Linked DNA regions of Drosophila melanogaster. The protein of the gene in region 1 interacts with the protein of each later gene in a pairwise test. Each region holds a gene or a part of one and is shown on either strand. Other genes may lie near its edges.

Region 1 (4,824 bases):
ACTGGGCGTATTTCGACTGGCACATCTCCACGGTGAAGGGAAGCAGCTTCTCAGAGATCTCGGCCCGCAGAGCTGGCGACGCGTACTTTAGCATGCTCTGGATCACGCGGGCGGTGTCGTGGGCCTTCACCACCTTTGAAATAGTGTCGCCCACGTTGAGCACCTTGTATATCTGCTCCACCAGCTTGTCCTTGTTCTCCGTTCGGCGGCTGCAAGACAAGCACCAAATTATGTTGATATATATATATCAGAGCAATAGGATTTGCGCATTCATTAGTTGTAATTTTACGAAAAAAAAAAAAAACGCGACAGAGGATAGAGCTGGTTTGTTTATGACCAAACAAAACAGCATGCGCTAAATAGGCGTCTTTGGAATCTACGCTCTTGGTTCTAACTCAACATTTATACAGAAATACAAGGCTATATTAACTTAGTTTTGATACTGATCAAAATGCTTAACTAGCTATTATTGTTTCAAGAACATGAATAAAATGTTTGGTGTTTTTGAATTCGAACCAAGTGGCAATGTTCGGTTTTTCCACGAACAGGTGCTTCGTTTTGGGATCCACATGGCCATGTTTATCGATATCTTGTCCTTTAAGGAACCAAAATGACTTATAATTATTAAAACTATATCGTATAGATTGATGCCTTATGAAATTTAAACAACTTTGTACGTTCTGAATGTACATAAGTGCATGAAAGAGCCCGATTTTGTTGAGCTATCATAATTTGTATAGGTAATTTGAGCGCTAAGGATGATAATAACCGATTGTTTGGGCTGTTCATCGTGTTTTTGGGGATGCTCACCATCGCAACTTCTCGTGGATCTGGTTGGCCTCCTTGCTGATCTCGTAGGTGTCCTTGGCACTCTTGCGCTTCAGCTTGAGGTCCTTCTTCTCCTTCTTGAACTTGTTCCAGTCCTGTTTCTCGCCCTCCGCCGGCGCCTGTGGCTGTGTTTGTGGTTTTCCGCGGAACTTGTTGCCACCAAGCCTCTTGTCGCCGGTGGCTCCGGATTTGTCAAACTTCTTGAAGCCACCGGGCCCAGACTTGTCGAACTTCTTGGCACCACCAGCGCCTGGCTTTACAAACGACTTGCCTGCTCCTCCGCCGAATTTGTCGAACTTCCTGGCGCCTCCTGCTCCACCGGGCTTAAACTTCTGTCCGTTGGCGCGCTTGCCGGACGATTCATGGGCCTTGAGGGGCGAGGCCGTGTTGGCCACGTTAGCAGGTCCTTTCGGCTCCGAGCTAACCATCTTTGCTGCGTTTTCTTGGACACTACAACTAAATAACAGCAAATGTTTTTGCCAAAAAAGCGAACTACACGTGCTGCTGATGCAGAGTGACCAGATTGTTGCAGTATACCCAAGCTGTGTAAATACCAAAATCTGGTATTTTCGTTCCACATACAGTAAGTATCAATGAAGTGCTTCTATTTGTTTAAAATTTAACTCAAGTTAATGCGTTCAGTTCAATTTGACTTTCCATTTGAAAGCGGCTAAAAAATAATAATCCATGTCTAAATATTAAATTTAAACTCTTCCTAAACTAAGCTCCTCAATGTTGATTACTTGTTATAGAAGGTCAAATAATTTTATGCATGTATTTGCGTCGTTTTATGAATATATGTATGTATTCATTCCCAAAAACATATTAGAATTGGTCTAAAAATTGAAGGTACCGATTTTTCATTAACGGCACTTGCCAACACTGGCTTTGCGGGGTAGCAGCCGTGTTTCTCGCGCTGGCAACCCTGTCCGGCAGAGTTCACGCACTCGGGCAACCTTGTCGTTGGAGGTGTTCGCGAACGTCGACAACCCTAGCGGCAACAGTTAAAAAATGGTGTGAAACGGCGACGGAGAACGCGGCGTGCAACTGTTGGAAGCCACTGCTTGGTCCTCGTTTTGGTCCCGGGTTCTGGTCCTCCTATTGATCTCCATCTCCGCCCGGCCACCAGCTCGAAAGCGCACCTACACATCATAGTTTCCATAGACAGTCCCAGTTCCACATCCACTCCCCCGCCAGCCAGCCAACAACAACAAAAACAACAACAGCAAGAGAAACAACTCAGAAGTCGAAAGGAATCTGGGAACTCCTGCGACTCCCCCGCGCAATGGGCACCATCTCATCCGTGCTGCAGTGGTCGTGCACCAAATGTAACACTATCAATCCCACGGAGTCGCTCAAGTGCTTCAATTGCGGCACCGTCCGCAAGGTGTTCCCCCAACAACAGCAGCAGCAGCATCGCAGCAGCAGCATCACCGCCTCCTGGACAGCTGATGATGCACTGGAGCAGGAGCAGGCGGAGAAGGGGCAGGAGAGGGACAAGGAGAAGGGCAGGGCGGCGGTTGCCAGGTAAGCGAAGCGGTCGCCACAAAAACAAACAGCCTGTATGCCTCCTCTGCGAGGATGTGCCTGTGTGTGTCTGTGTCTGTATGCGTGTGTGTGTGTGTGTATGTGGGCGCCAGTGGTGGCATCCAATTGGAGGACAAAAGCGCTAGCTAAAATCATGTCGCATATGGTAATGTGTATAGAAATCGGTGGCGTTTTCAAATCCAACTTTTTTCGCACACACATTGTATGCACACTTTGGAAAATATACAAATACACAAATATGTACATACTTTCATCGGTAAAATTCGTCAATCAAAAACCTTAACTTTCAAAGAATAATAATACCAAAAGCTTACCAACGTAAGCTCCTATGCTGAACTTTAATATCCAAAGAGCAGACCGAGTAAATCTTAGTAAATTTTATAGTTCTCACTAACCCTTTTGTGCATAATGAAACTTAAAGAATAAGAAAACAATGAAATCGGTTAGGAAAATCCTGATTAACTATCCATAGGAATAACTCGAATGGGAGTATAGGAATAAGTTGAAAGATTTTTATATTACGAACTTAAGTTTCGAAAGGCTAGGAAAAGGTACAGTGTGTACAAGTACACAGTTCAAAAGTCTAGCTTTAAAAGCCAAGCCGTCGGCACTGGTGATTGTCCCTGAGCGTGTGTGTGTGTGTGTGTGTGTGTGTGCGCGAGTGTGTGTATGTGAGAGCATGTATACACAGCAGAGGCAGAAGCAACAACAAAACAGCCGAGGAGCAGCGAGAATTGGGGAAAATCGATTTGGATAAAGAAGCATTGTTTACAAGTTTATCGATTCGCGAACTCGCTCGGCGATCTGAAGAGCAAAAGAGGTGTAGGAACAACTTCCGAGTCGAGCGGACGAGCGGAGAGTAGGAAAATGGCCAGTCATTGAGATAACCTTTGCGGTCAGGAAGTGGGGAAAGCCCAAACAGCTCAAGAACACCGAATCCCATCCAAACCCGACGAAAAACGAAAAACCCCATTTCCCTATTTTGCAGGAGCGAGTACAAGCATGTGTACAAGTCCCTGCTGCGCGGATGCTTGAAAAGACCACAGCGGAACAGCCAGAATCTGCCCGCCAACTGCGTGGATTGCGAGGACACGCGCAAGTACATCAAGAGCTCTATTGAGCTGTACCGCCACTTCTCGAATCCGGCCCTGAATCGGCGGTGGGTGTGCCACGCCTGCGGCACGGACAACAGCTCGGTCACCTGGCACTGCCTCATCTGCGACACGGTCAGCTATCTGGCGCCCATTTACAAGGACGCCATCGCCGCCGACCGAGGCCAGGATCTGGCTGGCAGCCTGGGCAATCGCGGCGAGCTGCTGGCGGCGGACCATTCACATCCACATCATCATCACCACTACCTCCACCAGGAACTGGAGGAGCAGCATCAGCATCAGTTACATTCCCAGCACTTGCATAAGCGCCACCTCAAAGGTAGATCTGCATCCGGATCGGGATCCGGACCGGGCTCGGGTTCTGGACTGCGCCGCACCCAGAGCCTGAGCACCGCTATCGACAAGAGCGCTTCCGGGCGCAGCTGCCACATTTGCTATGCGAACAACCAGAGCAAGGACATCTTCAATCTGCCGCAGATCAAGCCGGCGCCGCAGCTGACAGGTGCGTTCATCAGCTAACGAACTAATGAAAGGTTAAAGGTTACTTGAGGAAATAACTATAAGGTATTCTTATTGGCCAGCCTATCGTTTCCAAATTTTTACTAGAAGAAACTCTTTAAATGGACAACCGAATTATTTAAAGTCTATTCTCTTTTTGTAAAGTTCTTAATCTTAGTCAGATCATGATGAAAGTGTTAGCTTCCCATAACCGGAATGCACGCACTTGTTATCCGATAATCCAATTCTAATCCCTATGTGTTTCTCGCAGGGATTCCCCCCGTGGCCGCCTGCAGCAACTCCCGTTTTGCCATCGCCAACGACACTTTTTGCAGGCGCAAACAGAACAACAATAACAAGAACCAGAATCACAAGGTGGTTCGCGAGAGCGGTGCCAAGCGGAAGTACAACTTTACCATCACCACGCTCTCTCGGTCGGCGGCCAAGGATGCCGGCCATGGCCAAATGAAGCCACTGCGTCAGGTCGTTAATCTAAATCTGAATCTACAGCAGGAGCCGCAGCAGAAGTCACCGGCTAATCCGCAGCAGCTGCAGCGGAAAACCCAGCGGGAGCCAGCAGCAGTGAGTATGAATCCCACGCAGTTCACCATTCCGCGGAACGGCGTCTTCATAGCCGTCAACGAGTGGTCGGAGCCAATGGCCAGCAGCTCCTCCGTCTCCTCTAGCTCCAACCATCATCATCACCATCACAGCAACAGCAATAGCAATAGCAGCGGTAACAGCAACATCATCAACAACAACAGCAGCAGCTCCAGCGGCAGCAACAAGTTGTATGAGAACGAATGCGTGGCCCTGGCCCAGCAGCAACTAAGAGCAG
Region 2 (4,742 bases), on another chromosome or scaffold:
GGAGGGCATATTCGAACCCCCTCTTTATTTTTTGCCCAACTTTGCACAGTTGTTCTGTAAGTTAAGTTTAATACGTTGAGCCAACGAATCGTGAGGTATTATTTATTTAAACAAAACGAAACAAACGAAAAAAAAAAAACATAGGAAAGAGGAGGAAATAAGGAAATTCAATTGAAATTATTTGCTGATACTGTTCGCAGCTAGTCGAGCAGATACATAGGTAGCCTGTAAACAATAAAACAATTACACGCGGATATATACACCCACTGTAATCACAGATGTCAGTGCTTGATATACACATGCCTAGGTCTAGTGGAACTGGTAGTTCTACCATGTTGTACTATTTGTAGTAGGAGTCCCAAATCTGATTATGCTTATGTCACCCTTTATTATAGGAATGTTCTCTGTATATTATTGCGTCTCTTTTGCGTCTACGTATATATTTTTTGGTAAATGATTTTTTATATATACATATACACATTTATATTTGTAATTTGTATTTATCCATGTGCAAAAATAAATTATGATGATTATTTTTTAAAGAGTCGTCCCCCTCGAAGCATGCATAACAGATTGTAAAAAATGAATCGATTTATATATAATACGAAAATCACACACTACCCACTTGTATCTGAGCGAAAGGGCCTTAACAATTAGTAGGATGCATGATCGATGTATGCAGATCGGTTATAAAAACAGATATAGCAGGCATATTATTCGCATGCGAAAACCGTTAATAGAATAATATATTATAATGGCAATATGTGTATGCAACTAATAAGCCCTAACTTCTAGTTAATTACTGCTTTCCTATGTTATAAACCAAATGGCGATATAATCAAAACAAAAGACAAGCCCACATAAGTTAAATGTGTATGCTACCAACATAACAAACCTTTGAAGATCAAGCTGAATTATGTATTTCTAATATTAAATATATCACAACCCACACATAAAAAAAAAAAAACAAACACGACAAATAGAACAACAAATTATACAAGCAATTCCCCTATTTATTTAGAACCACACTGAAACACTAAAGAAATTCGCTTCTTATCGTAAATCCACAATTGCATAATTTATACGATTAAACAAAATATATATTTATGTGAATAAACTGTAACTAATTCTCAAGGCAATCATCCAAATGCGATTCGCTACTTCTTGGTTTCCAGAAAGTCCCCCAAAAATGTCATGGTCATCTGAATGGAATGCTGCTGCAAGAACCTCTCGATAAGGGGGAACATAGGAAGTTTTCAATGGAACTTTACTCTGGCGAATCTTATCGGATAGTTTGTACACAACCGCAAAAAGTAGCACTAATAGTGGTTGACTTCTATTAAAAGTAAAGCAACAGGTGGATCATGGAAATCATACTGATTCAGATTCATTATCTTTTCAAAACCTATTGAAAACAAAAGTTACTGGTTTAGAAGGCAAATGAACCAGAAATTTTAAATTTATACTTATATAGTGTAAAATTGTTTCCAGTGCTCGATAGTTCCATGTTTTATTATTTGAAAAACAACTGCCGTTAACAAAGCGGTATGACATCATCAATGCCATCATAACAAATCAGCTGCCGCTGATAAGCGCAGCTTGGAGCTTTTATGTTGTACCCAACCTACTAGGTACAAGACTGAGTGTGCTTTACAACACTAAACTGTTGGCGAGCTTTCCTCTGTTTCGCAGCTCGGACCGCCTTTCATAACGTAGTAAGTTTTCGTTGCGAACGGACGTAGCCCAACCAACTTGGCCTTAACCCTTGCGCTCCCTCCGATTTATTCCGCGGCAAACACATTCCAGTGGACAGTGGTGCAGTTCAGCCCAAGACCAACCTACATTTTAGCTCCCTGCAAACCCGTTTCTTCATCAAATAACTATGGCGTCCAACCGTGCAGCGAAGTCTGGTTTTGCCGCCGAGGCCCAGCGCAAAGTAAGTACCAAATAGCAACAACAACCGCACCCCCCACCCAAAAACCGAAGAGCGCCAAACAAAACAACACAATAAACAAATTGCCCAAAAAAAAATCAACTTTTGCACGGGTGTGTGCGTGAGTTTAGAGCTGCATTGACTTTATTTGGCGCTGCGTTGTCAAGATTTTATCTTCGCGCGCCAAATGCCAAAAATTAGCCAAAAATGGTCTTGAAATTGCCAGCGTCTAACAAGGAATGACCTCATTTCGCTGATAAGTCGAACAAGTATTTATGTACATACATATGTATATAGGAATATATACATGCATGTACACACATGTGTAATGCATGCGTAATTCGAAAGCTTGAAGATGATTTAGGTGATTTTGAGGCATTGTCAGTGCGGGTGATTCAAATCGAAGATCGAGAAAACAGTTGGTTATCCATAAATCAAACAATTAGTAGTAGTTAGTAAAGCTCTGGAAATTTCGATATGAATAATATCCCAAGTTCGAACAGTATACATTATAAAGATGAGCTAATATAATCCTAATTAATTGTGCTGCAATAAAAGCAAGTCTGAATACATAGGTGCTACTTGTGGAGTATCCACTGTAGAAGGAAGACCCTTTGGATGATCTCAACCCAACTATTGCAGCATGGTAGCTTCCGCAATGTAAATTGACATTAGTTCCGTCCATTAGCAGCACTTTGCCTCAAATGCACTCATACAAATGCATCGGGCTTTTGTGGGTGGGATGGGGTTGGGGATGGGTTACCCGTACCCTTCGGCCATTTGGCCCTCGTCAAGTCGGGGTTACGCAATTCCAACCGCCCCTGGGCAGCCCCAAGTGAAATTGTATATGTCGCCGGCACAGGGGATTAAGTGCAGTCCGACGAAATCCACAACAAGACAACTACAGTTACAGCATTGCCCAAACAAAAAACGAAACAAATAATCGAGATTTTTCATATCCGAAGTTTTGTATACCCTTGAGGAGCACTTTACCAAGTTGTTGACAAACTGAAATATTTTGTTTTGCTTTAGCTTTGCTTATCTAAAAGTATTTCCACCCGGATTTCATTCTCTTGAGTCAGCCATTTGGCAAAAGGCCTTGTTTATCGGTATTATCTGTACTAGCGCATTTTTAAAACACAGTATGTTTTAAAACACAGTATGAAGTATGTTTTAACGTGGTTTATGGTGATATATCAGGCACTATGGTTATGAAAAATATTATGAGAACTCTGTAGTGTTTATTTATGCCATATCATGTTAAGCTAAAACATTTTGGTACTTGGAATAGGAAGAACCTTGGCATAGGGTATAGAAAAATAAGAGAAATAGAGGCGAGTGCCTGGAGGCGCAGCTGCTGGCGCGACTCCAAGCCGCGATCGAATGGCTCCCCAGGAGCCGAAGGCGATGATGTCATTCCTTCAGCTGTCCCTCCACTGGTGCTCCTCGATCCCTTCGCGATCCATTCAACTCGAAGGCGTTGTTAGTTTGAGCACTTTTGCCGCTCGCTGGGAGTCACTCATATCTTCTGAGGGGGATTCGGGTTCGGGTTTTGAGTTTTTGGGGGTGACAGGAGGTAGAGGCGATAGCAGCACCTTTTCCACCACATGAGCACTTAAAACTGAGTATGTGGCGTAAGCAAACAGCAAAACAAAAGTGAGGCAAAAAGGTATGAAAGCAATATTTTTGTTTGTCTCATGGGTTCTCTACACTCCGTGCTTGCGTGTGTGCTTTTTCCGACTTTTACGACCAGTCACCGACAAATTGGCATGGATCTCAAGTTTCGGCCAGGGAATTCGTAGCCCCTTTATTTTCAACCCTTTCCTGGGATCGTAGCACCAGCTGTCGGGAAAGTTCTAGGAATGAGGCAGAAAGGTCTCAAGTTACTCAAAGTATGTTTACTAATTTGTAACTACATAAACGATTGAATATATTAGTTTAGCAATCTTAGATTCAGCATGATACTATTTCCTTTCTGGAAATTCACCCCTAAGAAGCCGCACTGTAGTTGTTTTCTTTTCCAACTCCCTCCACGCTCGCAGCTGTATCTCACCGCATTGGCGGCACATGGGCCACGTACTAATCACTTGGCCTTTTTCGGAGTCAAGAATCCACACTCAATTAGCAGTGCATATGTGAAAGACACTGTGTACACACTTGTACATCCGCAGCACGCACCTCCCTGTATCTGTATCTATATATCAGTATAGGTACGGGTATCTCTATCAGTGCGGGCGACACGTAAGTGGAACACTTGGCCCACATGAACTCCGTGCTCCTAGATGGGTATAGCTAGGTATTCATTCCCGAACCTCTCCCCCAAAAATTTAACACTTGTTGGCCGCTAGTTTTAGATAAGCCATAAACAGTCGCGGGAGGTGGTCGACAGCGGCTTTATCGTAAATCAAATGCTGTTTTGGATTTCCGGTGAAACTACTGCCAGTGCCGAAAACACCTCGACAAATGAAAATGGAATGAAATTCTGCCCCCTGTCCAAATCCCTCCGAAAAAGGCACTCGATGGGGGCCCATACAACAACTCAGTCAACTGAAGTCGAAGTTGGTCGCTCGTAAACCAGACTCAAAAATCATATATGTATGTACGCAATTGACCTCGTTACATTTTTGCGGATTTTGTTTATGTTATCGTTGTGGAATTTTTGTCATTTTCCCATTTATTTATCCACCCAAAAGATATCGGTCAGCAATTGTCATGGATCATGACGCATTCGAATCGCAAAAGAAAGCGAAATCGGCGGTGGCATAGTGAATAATCACCAGATCTGGCCATTTCGTGGATTGATTTTTGA

The links.
Region 2: the proteins of sol (region 1) and Chd64 interact in a two-hybrid assay, tested with the Drosophila melanogaster proteins (one large-scale study listed by BioGRID).

The regions. Positions count from the first base shown.
Region 1 is NC_004354.4:21,348,496-21,353,319, forward strand, and holds the start of sol (small optic lobes), read left to right. Parts: upstream 1-1,784; 5' UTR 1,785-2,113; coding exon 2,114-2,355; intron 2,356-3,139; exon of another isoform or gene 3,140-3,266; coding exon of another isoform or gene 3,267-3,271; intron 3,272-3,364; coding exon 3,365-3,990; intron 3,991-4,257; coding exon 4,258-4,824. Other genes in the region: peng (penguin), read right to left, coding at 1-209, 811-1,256. UniProt on the Drosophila melanogaster protein: Has a role in eye development. Calcium-regulated non-lysosomal thiol-protease.
Region 2 is NT_037436.4:4,119,350-4,124,091, reverse strand, and holds the start of Chd64 (Chd64), read left to right. Parts: upstream 1-1,703; 5' UTR 1,704-1,882; coding exon 1,883-1,936; intron 1,937-4,742.